Linked DNA regions of Oryctolagus cuniculus. The main gene of each other region encodes a partner of the protein of the gene in region 2 in a complex. Links are inferred from orthologs where the notes say so. Each region holds a gene or a part of one and is shown on either strand. Other genes may lie near its edges.

Region 1 (7,606 bases), on a different chromosome or scaffold from region 2:
CTCCCGGGCCATAGCAGAGAGCTGGCCTGGAAGAGGGGCAACCGGGACAGAATCTGGTGCCCCGACCGGGACTAGAACCCGGTGTGCTGGTGCTGCTAGGCGGAGGATTAGCCTATTGAGCCGCGGCACCGGCCTAAACTGAAATTTTAAGTGTCTACACAGTCTTTAATCAGCATTTTGCTTCTAGAAATTGTCTTGTGGAAGAATCACAGGCCCACACAAATAAAAATGGCTAAGGGTTTCCTCCCTAGTGCCATCTAACAAAATCTGTAAAGTCTCAAAATACCTATCATTAGGGAACTGATGAAACAGCTACATCAAAGCGGCACAAAGCCTGGCATTTAGTAGACACCTGAAAAAAGGCAATCAGACAATAAATATAACAAAAACAGTAACATGTCCTGGGTACTTTTATGCATTTCTTCCTCATGATCATACCATTCAGATGAAGGAAAAGTCTTAAAGAGATATAAACAATTTGCTCAAGTGTCAGCGCCAACATTCTGGTTGTTATGGAAAACTGGGCAAAGTGTAAGAGGGATCACTCAGTATTATTATTATTATTATTTTTTTTTTTTTTTTTAATTTTTTACAGGCAGAGTGGACAGTGAGAGAGAGAGACAGAGAGAGAAAGGTCTTCCTTTGCCGTTGGTTCACCCTCCAATGGCCGCCGCTGCAGCCGGCGCACAGCGCTGATCCGATGGCAGGAGCCAGGATCCAGGTGCTTTTCCTGGTCTCCCATGGGGTGCAGGGCCCAAGCACTTGGGCCATCCTCCACTGCACTCCCTGGCCATAGCAGAGAGCTGGCCTGGAAGAGGGGCAACCGGGACAGAATCCGGCGCCCCGACCGGGACCAGAACCCGGTGTGCCGGCGCTGCAAGGTGGAGGATTAGCCTATTGAGCCACGGCGCCGGCCTATTATTATTATTTTTGACAGGCAGAGTGGACAGTGAGAGAGACAGAGAGAAAGGTCTTCCTTTTGCCGTTGGTTCACCCTCCAATGGCCGCAGTAGCCGGCGTGCTGAGGCCAGCGCAGCGTGCTGTTCCGAAGGCAGGAGCCAGGTGCTTCTCCTGGTCTCCCATGGGGTGCAGGGCCCAAGCACTTGGGCCATCCTCCACTGCACTCCTGGGCCACAGCAGAGAGCTGGCCTGGAAAAGGGGCAACCGGGACAGAATCTGGCGCCCCGACCACGACTAGAAACTGGTGTGCCGGCGCCGCAGGCAGAGGATTAGCCTAGTGAGCTGCGGCGCCAGCCAGTATTATTATTATAGATTTATTTATTTGAAAGGCAGAGGTATCTTCCACCTGCTGGTTCACCACCAAAATGGCCTTAATAGCTGAGGCTGGACCGTGCTGAAGCCAGGAGCCCAAGACTCCATCCTGGTCTCCCTTGTGGGTGGCAGGGGTCCAAGTACTTGGGCCAGCTCTGCTGCCTTCCCAGGTGCATTAGCAAGGAGCTGGATTGAAGCGGAGCAATTGCGACTCGCTGGTGCTCATATAGGGATATGGGGATGTTGCAGCCGTACATCCTGTGATGTTCACACAACTATGAGCAAATTGTTTATATCTCTTTAAGACTTTTCCTTCATCTGAATGGTATGATCATGAGGAAGAAATGCATAAAAGTACCCAGGACATGTTACTGTTTTTGTTATATTTATTGTCTGATTGCCTTTTTTCAGGTGTCTACTAAATGCCAGGCTTTGTGCCGCTTTGATGTAGCTGTTTCATCAGTTCCCTAATGATAGGATAAACAAATTCCATCACAGGCGGCGGCTTAACCCACTGCACCATGACACCGGTCCTGCTGTATTTAAAATTGCACGTGGATCTATCATTATCACAATCAAATTTTCAATTAAACAAATGACCCAGCCTCAGCTGCCTGTGGCTAGCAACTAGGGGATGTGAGGACACACCCAGCAGGCTGACTCCAAAGCTTGCCCTCAGCCTTTGGGGGGTGAACACTGAAAACGCGGCCCGAGGGATGTCCCCAGCAGCGCCACTTGAGGCCCGCCCTTCCCCTCCGCGCTGCAACCCCTCCATCCTTGACTCCATCCCTTCCTCACTCGAGCTGGGCCCTGCATTTCGGCTTCTGCATTTTGCTAGGGCTGCTGTCTGCCTCGAATATCTTCACTTTACTCCAAATTCTGTCATTCCTTTCCCGGCCACCTCACGTGAAAGCTCTGTCCGTCTTTTCAATTCCGATGGGTCACCCAGTCCTGGAGTACCCAGTACATCAGAAACCCTATTTTCACCAAATACTCTGCAGACCTATTCACGTGCTACCTGGATGAGCCCATCCGTGCTACAGTTTTCACTGTGCCGTAATGTACTGAAGTGAGGGGTGTACCTAGAGCCTGGAGCAGTTAGCAGAAGCATTTAAAACAGAACTCAAAACAATGCAAAAGAGGCTGGTGCTCAGGCTTCGTCTAAGCAAATGACACCCGTCGATCAGTGGGCGCCATCGGCAAAGCCTTGCTCTAAACGTTATGACACATTCAGGGGTTTTTCCCAGCTCAAGACAACAGCAGCCTGTAATAAAATCCTTTTAGTAAAAAATGTTTTCTTGATCACAGCAAAATATACACATTTATAAAGATACACTGTCGGGAGGAACAGGCTATTTCCCACAGGCCACAGCTCGCAGTTTACTGAGCCCCCGGAGGAGGAATGTCATCACTCGAGGGAGGGAAATCCACTCACAGGAAGGCTTCATCTGCACAATGAGTTTCCTGGTCGAGTCTTCTCGGGCAGTGCTGGCTGACCCTGGCCTTTGACGACAGACAATGCATCCGGGTGCTGTTTTCATACCTATGCTCTCAGAAACAGCTGAGCCCTCCGGGGGGTCACCATGGCCTCCTAGGTCTGCAAGAATTCAGGCTGCACGCGGGCCACTTTCCGGAACTCCTTAGTGTGGGTCTTAGGGCACTGCATCTCACACCAGCTGATGGGAACCATCTGGACACCTGGAAGGGAAAAGCTGGGTTTGCAGCTGGGACCTCAGATGTTTGCTTGAAGCCCTTTTCTTTCAGATGGGTACGAAGCTGAAGTATTACCAGGCTACCAGCAAACCTCCCCTCATACGGGAAAACCGTGTTTATCTCATGATTTATGAAGTGAGTCCCACCTCCTTAGGGCTAGCAGAATCTCATCTCTGCAGTAAGCACAGCCACGCATCACCTGATGGGGGCATGCGATTTCATAGTTGTGTGAACATCACAGGATGTACGGCTGCAACATCACTAGGTGATAATCTCATGCGACCACCAGCCCAGATGCAGTCTGTCACTGACCAAAATGCTGTTATGCAGTGCATCATGGTACCTACACTTATATTGCTTCCCAAACAATGACAAACTAGGGAAAGTCAGAAAATTAATGCATTGATCCCAAACCATACCAGCCAAGGAAGAATCAGAATGTAGAAGTGTAGACCAACTCACCTGACTCACTATGGGCCACCACCACTCCCAGCTCATTTTCAGCTGTGGTCAGCAGGTAGTTGGACTGGGCGTCACCTAGAGAGATCTAGTCACACAACAGCGGTGAAGGAAAATGAGAGGTTACAAGTCTTCCCCCCTTAGCCACTTGGGTTGTTTCTCTAGTTCCATGTCTTCTTCACGAAGAACCAGAAGTCTGCTGGGAATAAAGGATACCACTTTGGCCAAGACAATGTCCCCTGGACGGAAACTCTTGTATATTTCAACCTGTGAAGAAAGCATAGTGGTGTTAAGTGAAGCTCTGGATCAGAGCCACACAGAATCCTTAGCCCCTCTGGGAGAGCTTGTCGCCTATCTAACCCCAGCGGGGAGAAGGCATCATAGCCTGTCAGTCAACATCATACAAATCAGATTTTGAATTCAGTAATCCAATCAGGAATCAGACTACTGAATTTACTATAAAAAGGTACTATAGGGGCTGGCTTTGAGGTGCAGTGAGTTAAGCCACCACCTGCAACACATATCTGTATCCCATTTGAGCGCCAATTAGAGTCCCTGCTGCTCCACTTCTAGTTCAGGTCCCGCTAATGTGCCTGGGAGAACAGCAGAGGATGGCTCAAGTATGTGGGCCCCTGCCACCCACATGGGAGACCTGGAGTTTCTGGCTTCTGGCTTCAGCTTGGGGAGTGAACCAGGGATGGAAGACAGCTCTCTATGTAGCTGTCTTTCAAGTAAATATTTATCTTACAAAAAAAAAAAAAAAAAAAAAAAAAAAGGGCGGGGCAAGCACTGTGGCGCAGCACGTTAACGCCCTGGCCTGAAGCGCTGGCATCCCATGTGGGCGCTGGTTCAAGACCCAGCTGCTCCATTTCCGATCCAGCTCTCTGCTGTGGGCTGGGAAAGCAGTAGAGGATGGCCCAACTACTTGGGCCCCTGTACCCGCGTGGGAGACCTGGAAGAGGCTCCTGGCTCTGGATCAGCGCAGCTCCAGCCACTGCAGCCATCTCAGGAGTGAACCAGTGGATGGAAGATCTTTCTCTGTCTCTAACTCTCTCTGTAACTCTTTCAAATAAATAAAATAAATCTTTAGAAAAAGAAAAGATATAAGAGGTACTGCAGTTGGTTCTGAAAGATCCAGGACTACATCTGAGGGGACAGCAATGAATAAATACTTGGCTTTAAGGGCAAACCTAGCCCCACTCAGGTCAGATGAATTAACATAAATGTGAGTAATTGTAAAGGATTTCAATTGCTTCATTCATGGAAGAGAAAAACGAACCAACCAACAACCTTGTCTTTTTCAGTGGCTCGAACATCTTCCTTCCTACAAAAAAAAAAAGTTCACCAAAGGTTAATTATCTTCGAGAAAAACTGTCCTGAAGGTTCCTAGCAGGTGAAGGACTCTCAGAGCAGACGGAACAAGTCTTGACGGGAGCCAGCTGCCACCCAGAACGAGGGGGGGAGGCATCTTCGCCCACGGGAGAAAGCACTTGCCCATTGTCAGGCCATGCAGAGCAGCAGGAGCAACACCTCTGAGTACAGAAAGAGATCAGAGGCGGCAGGAAAAGATAAGGAACTTTGCTGCTTCAAGAGAACTGGAATGAAATGCCACAGAACCACACCAGACCCTGCAAAATCGAATTATCTGAGGTGGGTGTTTGGTGCAGTGGTAAAGCCGCCACTTGGGATTGTCCATGTCCTATCCTGCACTGCCCGGGTTAAGAGTCCCCACTCCGCTCTCCATTCCAGCTTCCTGCTAATGTGCACCCTGGGAGGCGCAGGTGATGGCTCAAGTAGTTGGGTCCTTGCTTCCTATGTGGGACAATGGATTGAACTCCTGACTCTCGGCTGCTGCAGGCACTGGGGGAGTGAAACAGAGGATGGGAGATCGCTCTGTCCCTGTGTTTCAAATAGATGAAGCGAATAAATTTAAAAAACCCTGTTATCTGGCCTGTAATAATTGTTTGTCTTTTCTATAAGGAATCCATTGGAAAAAATATACCACCTCACAAACAAATCCTTTCATTATCTTATAACCTTTGGGATTACTCAATACTAAGTTCAAGAAAAAAAGTACTGGGGCCGGCGCTGTGGTGCCATGGGTTAACACCCTGGCCTGAAGCACCGCTGTCCCAAATGGGCACCAGTTCAAGACCCAACAGCTCCACTTTCGATCCAGCTCTCTATTAGGGCCTGGGAAAGCAGCAGAAGATGGCCCAGGTCTTTGGGCCCCTGTACCCACGTAGGAGACCGGGAGGAGGATCCTGGCTCCTGGCTTTGGATCGGCACAGCTCCGGCCGTTGCGGCCAACTGTGGAGTGAACCATCGGATGGAGGACCTCTCTGTCTCTCTCTCTGTCTCTCCTCTCTGTGTAACTCTGACTTGAAAATGAATAAATAAATCTTAAAAAAAAAAAAAAATAAAGAAAAATACTTCTTTAAATGCTTTGTACTTTATTTGGTTCAAATCAGCCTAACGTTGTCAATCTTCAGCTCTGCTTAATCTTTTTAAAATCCTTTTTAGTATCTTCCTTTCATCCTAGCTCATATAACATGTTCTTTGGATATTAATGGGGAGAATCAAAGTACAAAGAAGATAGAAAGATGGCATGAGCAGGTATTGTAAGTGTTCCTAAAAATTCCAGTTGTCCTGTCTATCCTAATCTCATTCCAGGTGTTGAGGCAAGTATCACAACAAGGATACTTCTTCTTACAGATTTATTTATGTACTTGAAAGGCAGCGTGTGTGGGGGAGGACAAGGATACTTCTTACCGGATAGTTCCTCGAAAAGAGTTCTTAAGAGGTGTGGATCCCACGTAGAGGATGTGTACTTTGGCAAAACGTGAATTGATGCTGGAGACCTGTGGAATTCAGAGAGGATCAGCACCGGAGTATTCACAATTGTCAGCTCAAGGAGGCAGCAATGAACAAGGCTTTACTAGGACTTCAGCCCAAGATTCTAGTAAACATACAATTGAAGACAAGCTAGCTTCTACTTATCTCTGCCTAAGTGAGATTTGTGGATTAAGAACAACTCTGGCCACCTGACAGGGTGACTATGGGAACCAAATGACATGTTATACAGATATATTTTCTTATATATTTATTTGAGAGAGAGAGTTAGAGGAAGACACAGACAGAAAGGTCGCCATCTGTTGGTTCACTCCCCAACTGGCCACAATGGCCGGAGCTGTGCCAATCTGAAGTTAGGAGCAAGGAGCTTCTTCCGTGTCTCCTACACAGGTGCTGAGGCCCAAGCACTTGGGCCATCTTCCACTGGCCATCTTCCACTGCTTTCCCAGGCCACAGTAGGGAACTGGATCAGAAGTGGAGCAGCTGGCATATGAAAACTAGCACCTTACAGAGAGGGCGAGAGAGAGGGAGAGAGGGAGGGAGAGGGAGGGGGAGGGAGGGGGAGGGAGGGAGAGGGAGGGGGAGGGAGGGGGAGGGAGGGAGAGGGAGAGATCTTCCATCTGCTGTTTCACTCCCCAGATGGCTGTAACAGCCGGAGTTGAGCCAATCCGAAGCCAGGAACTTCTTCCGGGTCTCCCTTGCGGGTGCAGGGGCCCAAAAACTTGGGCCATCTTCTTCTTCTTCTTCTTTTTTTTTTTTACAGGCAGAGTGGACAGTGAGTGAGAGAGAGAGAAAGGTCTTCCTTTTTGCCGTTGGTTCATCCTCCAATGGCCTCCACGGGCGGTGTGCTGCGGCTGGCACACCTTGCTGATCCGAAGGCAGGAGCCAGGTACTTCTCCTGGTCTCCCATGGGGTGCAGGGACCCAAGCACCTGGGCCATCCTCCACTGCACTCCCGGGACTTGGGCCATCTTCTACAGCTTGCCCAGGCCATAGCAGAGAGCTGGATTGGAAGTGGAGCAGCTGGGTCATGAACCCTTGCCCATATGGGATGCTGGCATTGCAGGCAGTTGGCTCTATCCGCTATGCCACAGTGCTGGCCTCATTATTTTTAAAATTTATTTTTTATTTATTTCAAAGGCAGAGTTATAGAGAGAAGAGGAGAGACAGAGACAGAGAGAGAGAGAGGCAGGCTTGTTCATCTGCTGGTTCACTCCCCAAATGGCTGCAATGGTGGGGGCTAGTTCAGGCCGAAGCCAGGAGTCACTTTTTCTTCTGGGTCTCCCACATGGGTACAGGGGCCCAAGCAC
Region 2 (7,369 bases):
ACGTGGTGAGGACAGGCCAGGGAGCTCTGGCAGCACTGCCCTCAGCCTCTGTGCCGGGCGGCCACCCACCCTGGCCCCTCTCCCTGCAGCCCAAACTGGGGAGCTGCACTCCATCAGGGAGGAGCTGAGCCAGATCAAGGCCCAGGTGGACAGCCTGCTGCAGAGTCTGGAGCGCATGGACCCGCAGAGGCACCAGTCTGCAGGTCAGACCCCGCTGTAAGCCCAGCCCACGCCCAGTTCCTGAAGATAGGGGGTGGGGGTGGGGGGTGCCTGGAGCCCTGCCTCCGGTTTTCCAGGCTCTCCTTGGGTGGTCCTCTCCCCATTCGCTCTGGCTCTTCCTGTGGCTCCAGGGCTGTCCCATCACCCCCACCCTCTCAGCAACTTTCTGGAGGCAGAACACTGCCCAGGCCATGCGCCTCAGGACCTAATCAGAGCTGGGCATCAGGTGGCTCCCTGGACCAGCTGGGACCTCTACTGACGGGTGCCTCCCTTTGCACAGGGACGACGGACAGTGAAGAGACCAGGGGTCCAGGCAGTGAGAGCGCCTGGTGCCGAGGCACTGAAAACCAGTGGGAGCCCAGGGGCGAGGCCCGGTGCGCAGAGGGACAGTGCCAAGGCAGGCACCAGCACAGAGCAGGCAGTAAGTGGCCTGGCTCCTCCTCCCCATCTCCACTTGCTGGGGTCCCCGTGTCTCCCTGTGTGCACGATCAGACTGAGGCCTGTACAGGAGCGTGGGGTGGGGGTGGGGATTAGGACTGTGACCTCAGAGGCAACACCCTGCTGTTTATCCCAGCTCTGCCCTTGGGTCTGCTGAGAGAGCAGGCCACATGGAGAATGCTCTTTTTCCTGGTTGGTCTGGATGCCCAGAGACTCAGGGAGTCTAGCTCCTGACACGATGGGCTGGGTACTGTGTTGGCAGCCAGTCCTGCTTGTTTTTTCCCACAGGTGAAGAATCACACATCAGACCAGGAGGGCAGTGAGTAGGTGGGAATCCTCCCTGGCCTGCCAGCGCCAGGCACCTTCTTGTATTGTTTTGAAGGCCTCCTAGTGGCACCCATTTTGGAGCTGGGGCAGTGCAAACGGAGGCACAGGGCTCGGCCAGACCAGCGGGAGAGCCCCTCCCTGGGGGGAGGGGGTTTCCAGATGGTGGTCCTAGGGCTGGCGGGGCTGGGAGACAGGCTGCCTGAGACCATCCTGGTTTGCAGGGGCACCTGAAGCACCCCCTCCCCACACACCACCAGGGCTGCCGGGTGTGCAGCATCAGGCTGCAGTCGTCCCCCAACAGCTGCTCCAGGCACAGTGGTGCACAGGAAACACACCTGTGTTCCCACAGTCTCCCCTCCCCGCCCAGTTGTAAAGTCCTGGGTCTCTGCCCTACATGGGCCCCTTTTGCTTCCGACTGTCCTTTCCAACAGGGACATCCTTTCTCTGTCCTGTCCATTCCTATCTTGTCTTTCACTGGTGTGACACTGTGTGTTTGCAGATCTGCTGTCAGAACAGAAAAAAATAAAAATTGCATTTCTTCTGCCAAAGGACTGTGGTGTGGCCCCAGAACTTCACCCTGGTCTTTGGGCTTCCCCCAGGCCAGCCCTTCAAGACAAGTTTAGCAGGTCATCCAGAGCTGGGTGCCCGGCCCTCCCCACTGTGGTCTCCGCTGGCTCCCTCGATTCTGTTAAGCCCAAGCCAGCAGGGTTCAAGGAAGACTCCCCTCCTGCCATACAGCGTAGCCATGCTCCTCTGCTTTCCCAGAAGCCAGTTCACCCGCCCTCTCCCCAGGGGCTCAGGCTGGACAACGGGCAGATGAAGGCAGCCCAGGGGCCCACTCAGCGGCAGTGCAGGCCTTTGACTGGACTGCTGTGGCCCTGGCCACGGAAGGCTGGGATCCGGCTTCCACCCCCAGCAAAACCCTTTCCAGCTCTCGGGAACCCTGCGCTGGGGCCTCTCGCGGCACAGCCATGAGCTCCGGGACCCCCGAGTGCTCCCGGGCCGTCCAACTCTCCTCCCGGCGCAGCAGCCGCCCTCACGGGCACCGGAGGCGGCGGCGTGTCTTCCTGCCAAGCACACGGCCCACTTCTAAACCCGCAGCTGCTTCAGGATTCTGGCCCGTCTGGTCGGCTCACCGGTCCAAGGGACACGACACAGGCGGGGCAGTGCTGTCCTGAGCCTCACCGCCAGGGAGCCTTGCTCTCTCTGAAAATCCTGTACTAAGAACCACGACACGCGTATTTCGAATACAAAAAAAAACGGTTTTGTTGTTTCAGTCCCGCTGTGAGAAGGCGCAGCGCCCTGTCCATCGTCTCCGGAGTCACACAGATCCCGCGCTCCGGACCAGGCCGGCTCAAGTCCTTCCCAGCTCGGGAGTAAGCAAGCAGCCCGCGGCTTCCTGCGCTGGCTTCTGGCTGGGGACTGGAAAGATCGTCAAACGTTCGTCTGTCGACAGCCGTTCCAACGCAACTGTCCATCTCCGCACGCTCTGTCCGCTCGCGGCTCCACTTCGCCCGCCGGCTCAGGGCAGGGCGGCGCCCCTGCGGCGGGCGGCCCGCACCAGGCACTGCTGCAGCACCGGGTAGAGTCGCTGGCAGCCCTCGAGGCCCAGCCGCACGGCTTCGGCCCAAGTCTCGGTCGCGTCGCCCTCCCCGCTGCCCAGCAGCCCGGCCACCTGGTTGAGCACCGGCATGAGGGCCACGGTGAGGCCGGCGGCGGCGCGCTCCTCCTCCAGCCGCGTCGGGTCCAGCAGCCAGGCGGGCGTGGGCCCCTGCGCGCGGCTCAGGCCGCAGCCCACCACCAGGTCGTACATCTCGACGCCCGCGTCGGCCAGGGCGAGGGCGGCGGCCGTGAGGGCGGCGGCCAGCGCCGAGCCGCCGTCCTCCAGCAGCAGCGCCGACACCTCGAGCTGCGCGCGCGGGTAGCGGCTCAGGCGCACGGCCGGCTCCAGCGCCTCCTGCAACGCCAGGGCCAGCTCGCGCTCCTCGCCGCCGCCCGGAGGCGCCCGGCGCCGGCGGCCCGAGAAAGGCGCACGGCGGAAATCGCAGACCAGGCGGCCGCGCAGCGCGGCCGGGGCCTCGCCGCCGGCGCCGGCAGGGCCGCTCCCTCGCTCGCTGCCCTCGACCTGGCGTGGGCCCGACACGGCGCACAGCACCTTGGTGCCTCCCGCCTCCAGGTAGGCCGAGCCCTTGGCCTGGCTCAGCAGCCCGGCGCGCGCGTACACCGGCCGCAGCCGCGTCGGGTCTCGGGCGGCGGGCTCCTCTTCCTCGTCGGCGGCGTACAGCTGCGGCGGCTGCGACTCGTCTGGTCCGCGGATGCGGCGGTGGTCCCCGGGCATGGCGGCACCTGGCGAGCACACCGCTTCCGCCCGTCGTCCTACCGCGCGCTCCGGCTCTTCCGCCCGCTTGAAGACGCGCGCTCGCGCGGGGGCTGTCGGGAGAGCCGCAGGCAGTCGCGGCTGCACTGCCCCCTGGCGCCGTGGAGGGAGAACGGCTGCGGCGCCAAGGCTTTGAAGCCGCAGCAAGGTTGCCCAGGGCTGGACGGGCCGGTTGACTGTCTCCCAGGCCAGGTCCTACCCGAGCGCTTAGTCTTCTCACTTATGCAGGCTGTAGTTATCTTAGTTTTGCACTAATCTGTGGGACTATTTTATATGTCCCCACCGGGGAGTTGGCCTTGCTCACTCCCAAGCCCCTGGCTGGCACGAAGGCCTATATGATGGATGGAATCTCTCTCCAGCACTGGCTTTATGTAAGTCTCTTTGTATCATTAACACGGACATCAACACCCCCTTTCTGCCTCCCCTTCCCACCCTGAGAACCGCCCCTCACCCCAGCATGCACCTGCTTTTCCTTCTCCCTCCACTGTCAGCAGCACCGTGACCTGGGCTCTGGGGCCAGCCGCTGTATCCAGAGGACAGGACATCCGTTGGGGCTGGCACAGGCAAGCAGTACCTTCACCTTCCAAACTCTGCCATTTTAGACTTGGGGAAACTGGACTCAGAGACCGGCCAGTGTCTTTGGGTCAAGTGGGAGTGATGGGCAGACACTAGAGTAGGAGGCAATAGCTGCACCTTAAACATCTTCTGTACCAGAGACTGCCCTCCAGCCTCATACCCTGACCCCACATGAAGAGCTTCAGAGGGAGGGGAGGGACATGAGCCAGAGCCGCCGCCTGCAGGGCTGGCATCCGATGTGAGCACCAGTTTGAGACCAGCTGCTCCAATCCAGCTCTCTGCTATGGCCTGGGAAAGCAGTGGAAGATGGCCCAAGTGCTTGGGCCCCTGCACACGCGTGGGAGACCTGGAGGAAGCTCCTGGCTTCGGATCAGCACAGCTCCGGCCACTGCAGCCCTTTGGGTAGTGAACCAGTGGATGGAAGACCTCTCTCTCTCTGCTTTTCTGTAACTCTGCCCTTCAAATCAATCAATCTTTAAAAGAAAAAAACAATGGAGGTTCTCCAGGCGCACCTTTGCTTTGTAACCCCTCGGACCACTGAATTATTAGAGCCTCTCTCTCCATCTCACCCCCGTCTCCACAAACACTGAGTTCAAGGGTTTAGGGCTGGACTGAGCTGGAGTCAGCATGTTTTACACACCCTCGGGTAGCCAAGAGCTGTCAGCAGGGGTGCATGCTGGGAGGTAATGACCAGAAGGCATCAATGAGTATTGCACATGGTCCTTTATTCTCTGCAGCACAAGTGCCCACCTGCAGACCCAGAAGCCTCGGGTCAGCAAAGAACTGCATTTCTGGATGTGAACTTGACACAGGTAGACAGCGATCCTGGGCCAGTGGTTCTAGACGGGCAGTGCCAACGTGCAGGCCTCCGGGCAGAAATATCAAGGGGGACCGAGGCACAGGACAGCTCCCAGGGGTGTCCAGTTACTGCTGGGTTAGGAGGACGGATGGCTGTTTGCAGGTCCCAGCATTCAGGAGTCTTTGTGGCAGACGGAGATCTCTGGGCTGGACTGATGCAAACGGGTGACGGGGAGATGGCTCCCAGGGAAGCTGCCCCTGCTCTAGTTCTTCACATCTCCCAGGCGCAGCTGGGCAAAGGAAGTGGCCAGCTGCAGTGCCTCCTGTAGGCAGCCCACATTCTTGCCCGTGGCCTGGGCAGACATGTCCTTGCCACCACCTTTGCCATCCATCAGGCCCGACACCTGCTGCACCCACTCACTGGCCTTTAGGCCCCTGTTGGCTGCATTCTGGAACACAGGAAGGCGAAGTGGGAGTCAGGACAGAGGATGGGATCGCAGGATGAATGGAGAGAAAGGAAAAGGATGGGAGCCACAGACACCCACGCCTGCCCCAGGTGACAATGCTGGAGGCTGAGAAACGCCACAGCTGGTACAGGAGGCAGTCAGTGGCCACCGTTAGCATGAGTCCAAGCCAGCGGCAAGGCTGGGCAACAGCCATTACAGTTAAACACATTCACCAGCGAGACAGGAAGGGTGGGGTCCCGGTGAAGGTGACCAGCAGGTGGGCAGGAGGCCCACTACTTCTAACCGGGCTGCACCCACATCCGTGGGCATCGGCAAACAACCCGAGGAACCCAGCTCCCTCTGAAAACCCCAGGCGGCATCTCCCACTGGCTGCGGTGGCTCTCACCTGGGGGACCTGACATAAGCACGTGATCTTGCCAGCCTCGTTGTCCACCGTGAAGAGCATGGCAGACGTCTGAGGGGAATGCGTCTTGAAAAGCTTCAGGGCTTCATTCAGGGCCTGTGGGAGGACCGGGGTCAGGCCACAGCCCTGCTCGCCACAGAGCAGCCTGCAAAGCGCAGCCCTCGGAGTGTCCCATCCCTCCCAGGAGGGGGCCCTGCCACACTCTGGCTCGGGGATTTGTTTCCCGCCTCCAGGGAGCTGCTCCTCCCTCCAGCCAGGAGCCAGAGCCCCCCAGCCGGCCGCTCGCTCCAGGGTTCAGCTGAACCTCAACCCCGGACAGGGGCCCTCAGGAGCCCACTCGGCTCGGAGCCACTAAGCCCACCCGTCAGCCACCCCTGGGCTGATGAGACCCGCAGGGAAGGGAACACGTGATGGTGAGGGTCAGCCCCTGGGTTGCCTTGGCCGAGGCGCCGCTCTCCATCTCCAGGATGACGAGGGGTTGGTTGGGGTTGCTGTCGATAAGCTGCTTTGTCTTCTCCAACACCTGCAAGAGGTAAGTCCGGAAGTCAGGCTCCGGCCAAAGGCCCAGACCCCAACACCCTGACAGCAGTCTTGCCCGCCGAGGAGGTCCTCCAGGCTCCTGTCCAGCCTGCCGCACCGCAGGACTCACTCGCTTCTGCACGTCGGCTTTGCTGGCTCTGTCTAGGTCATCCATGATCTTCTTCAGGGATTTCAGAGTCTCCCGCAGTTCGTCCTTCTGCCACTGGGGGATGACTGCCGCGGCCAGGGCCTAGACCCAGAACAGAAGACCATCTGCATCTGGCTGCACGGAGCTCTGACGCGAGGCTCCAGCCCGCGCACCCACCCTCTGGCTTGGAACCCGAGTCCTCCCTGAGCAGTGTCCAGGAGGAGAGAAAACAAACACGACGGTACGCAGGGGCCTTGGGCACATGGTGAGCGACCGCAGCAGCTGGAACAAGCTGAGTGGAGAGGGAGAAACTGCACAGACGGGGCTCCCTTGTGAGCCCTGGTCCTTTCCAAGCCATGAACGCAGGCTGTGGTGGGCTCACCAGAAGCCCCAGGTACCAGTGACCACCAGGCACCTTCACCACTGCCCCTCATGCCAGCAGCACCGGGAGCAGCAGGGCGAGTCAGCCAAGGCCCATGCCACACGGAACCAGGACCCGCCTGGATGCAGGGAGCTCTCGTTCCTTAGGCAGGTGTGGTCCGGGCAGGTCCCTGAGCAGGGAGGGGGCTGCCCTCACCTCTCCGAGGTCGGCGATCTCCTTCTGAACATCCTTGTTGGGCGCAGTCTGGGCCTTCACTTTGGCCTCCATGACTGAGAGTGATTTCTTCAAGCTCTCCGCTTTCCTGAGGGCCTGGGAGGGGGACAGTCAGAGTTGGGACCTCCAGGACAGGCAGCTTCCATCCAGCCTCACTGTGGACAGTCGATGGCAGGTTCCAGAGCAACACACCCCAAGACACCACCAGAGGTCTCTTCGGGTCAGGCAGCCTCGCACCCCACAAAGGGGCACCCTCCTCACACACCTGGCCAGCAGAGTGCACACTCAAGTTCAGGGTGTGGCTGAGAACTGGCGAATCGGGGGCCCCTGGCACCCCCTGAAATCCCAGCTCTCCAGCTCTACCCCAGGGCAACTGTCCCTCTATCTGCCCGCACCTCAGACTAGGCACACAGCCTCAGGGGCACAGGGATAGGCAAGGAGACACCTGAAGCCGCAGCTCGGCCACGGCCTCCCCTCCTAGACACAGATGCGTCAGCGCTGA

What was found. Proteins that work in one complex are often made in the same cells at the same time.
Region 1: EXOSC6 (region 2) and EXOSC1 share a complex: the UniProt entries of both Homo sapiens proteins name them as parts of the RNA exosome core complex. The link is inferred for Oryctolagus cuniculus from reciprocal best matches to the Homo sapiens genes EXOSC6 and EXOSC1.

The regions. Positions count from the first base shown.
Region 1 is NC_091446.1:32,402,012-32,409,617, reverse strand, and holds the end of EXOSC1 (exosome complex component CSL4), read right to left. Parts: intron 6,306-7,606; coding exon 6,217-6,305; intron 4,769-6,216; coding exon 4,735-4,768; intron 3,712-4,734; coding exon 3,661-3,711; intron 3,533-3,660; coding exon 3,448-3,532; intron 2,971-3,447; coding exon 2,864-2,970; 3' UTR 2,535-2,863; downstream 1-2,534. UniProt on the Homo sapiens protein: Non-catalytic component of the RNA exosome complex which has 3'->5' exoribonuclease activity and participates in a multitude of cellular RNA processing and degradation events.
Region 2 is NC_091449.1:56,937,220-56,944,588, reverse strand, and holds EXOSC6 (exosome complex component MTR3), read right to left. Parts: upstream 3,397-7,369; 5' UTR 3,323-3,396; coding exon 2,507-3,322; 3' UTR 2,226-2,506; downstream 1-2,225. Other genes in the region: AARS1 (alanine--tRNA ligase, cytoplasmic), read right to left, coding at 4,999-5,184, 5,588-5,701, 6,042-6,128, 6,255-6,374, 6,850-6,963. UniProt on the Homo sapiens protein: Non-catalytic component of the RNA exosome complex which has 3'->5' exoribonuclease activity and participates in a multitude of cellular RNA processing and degradation events.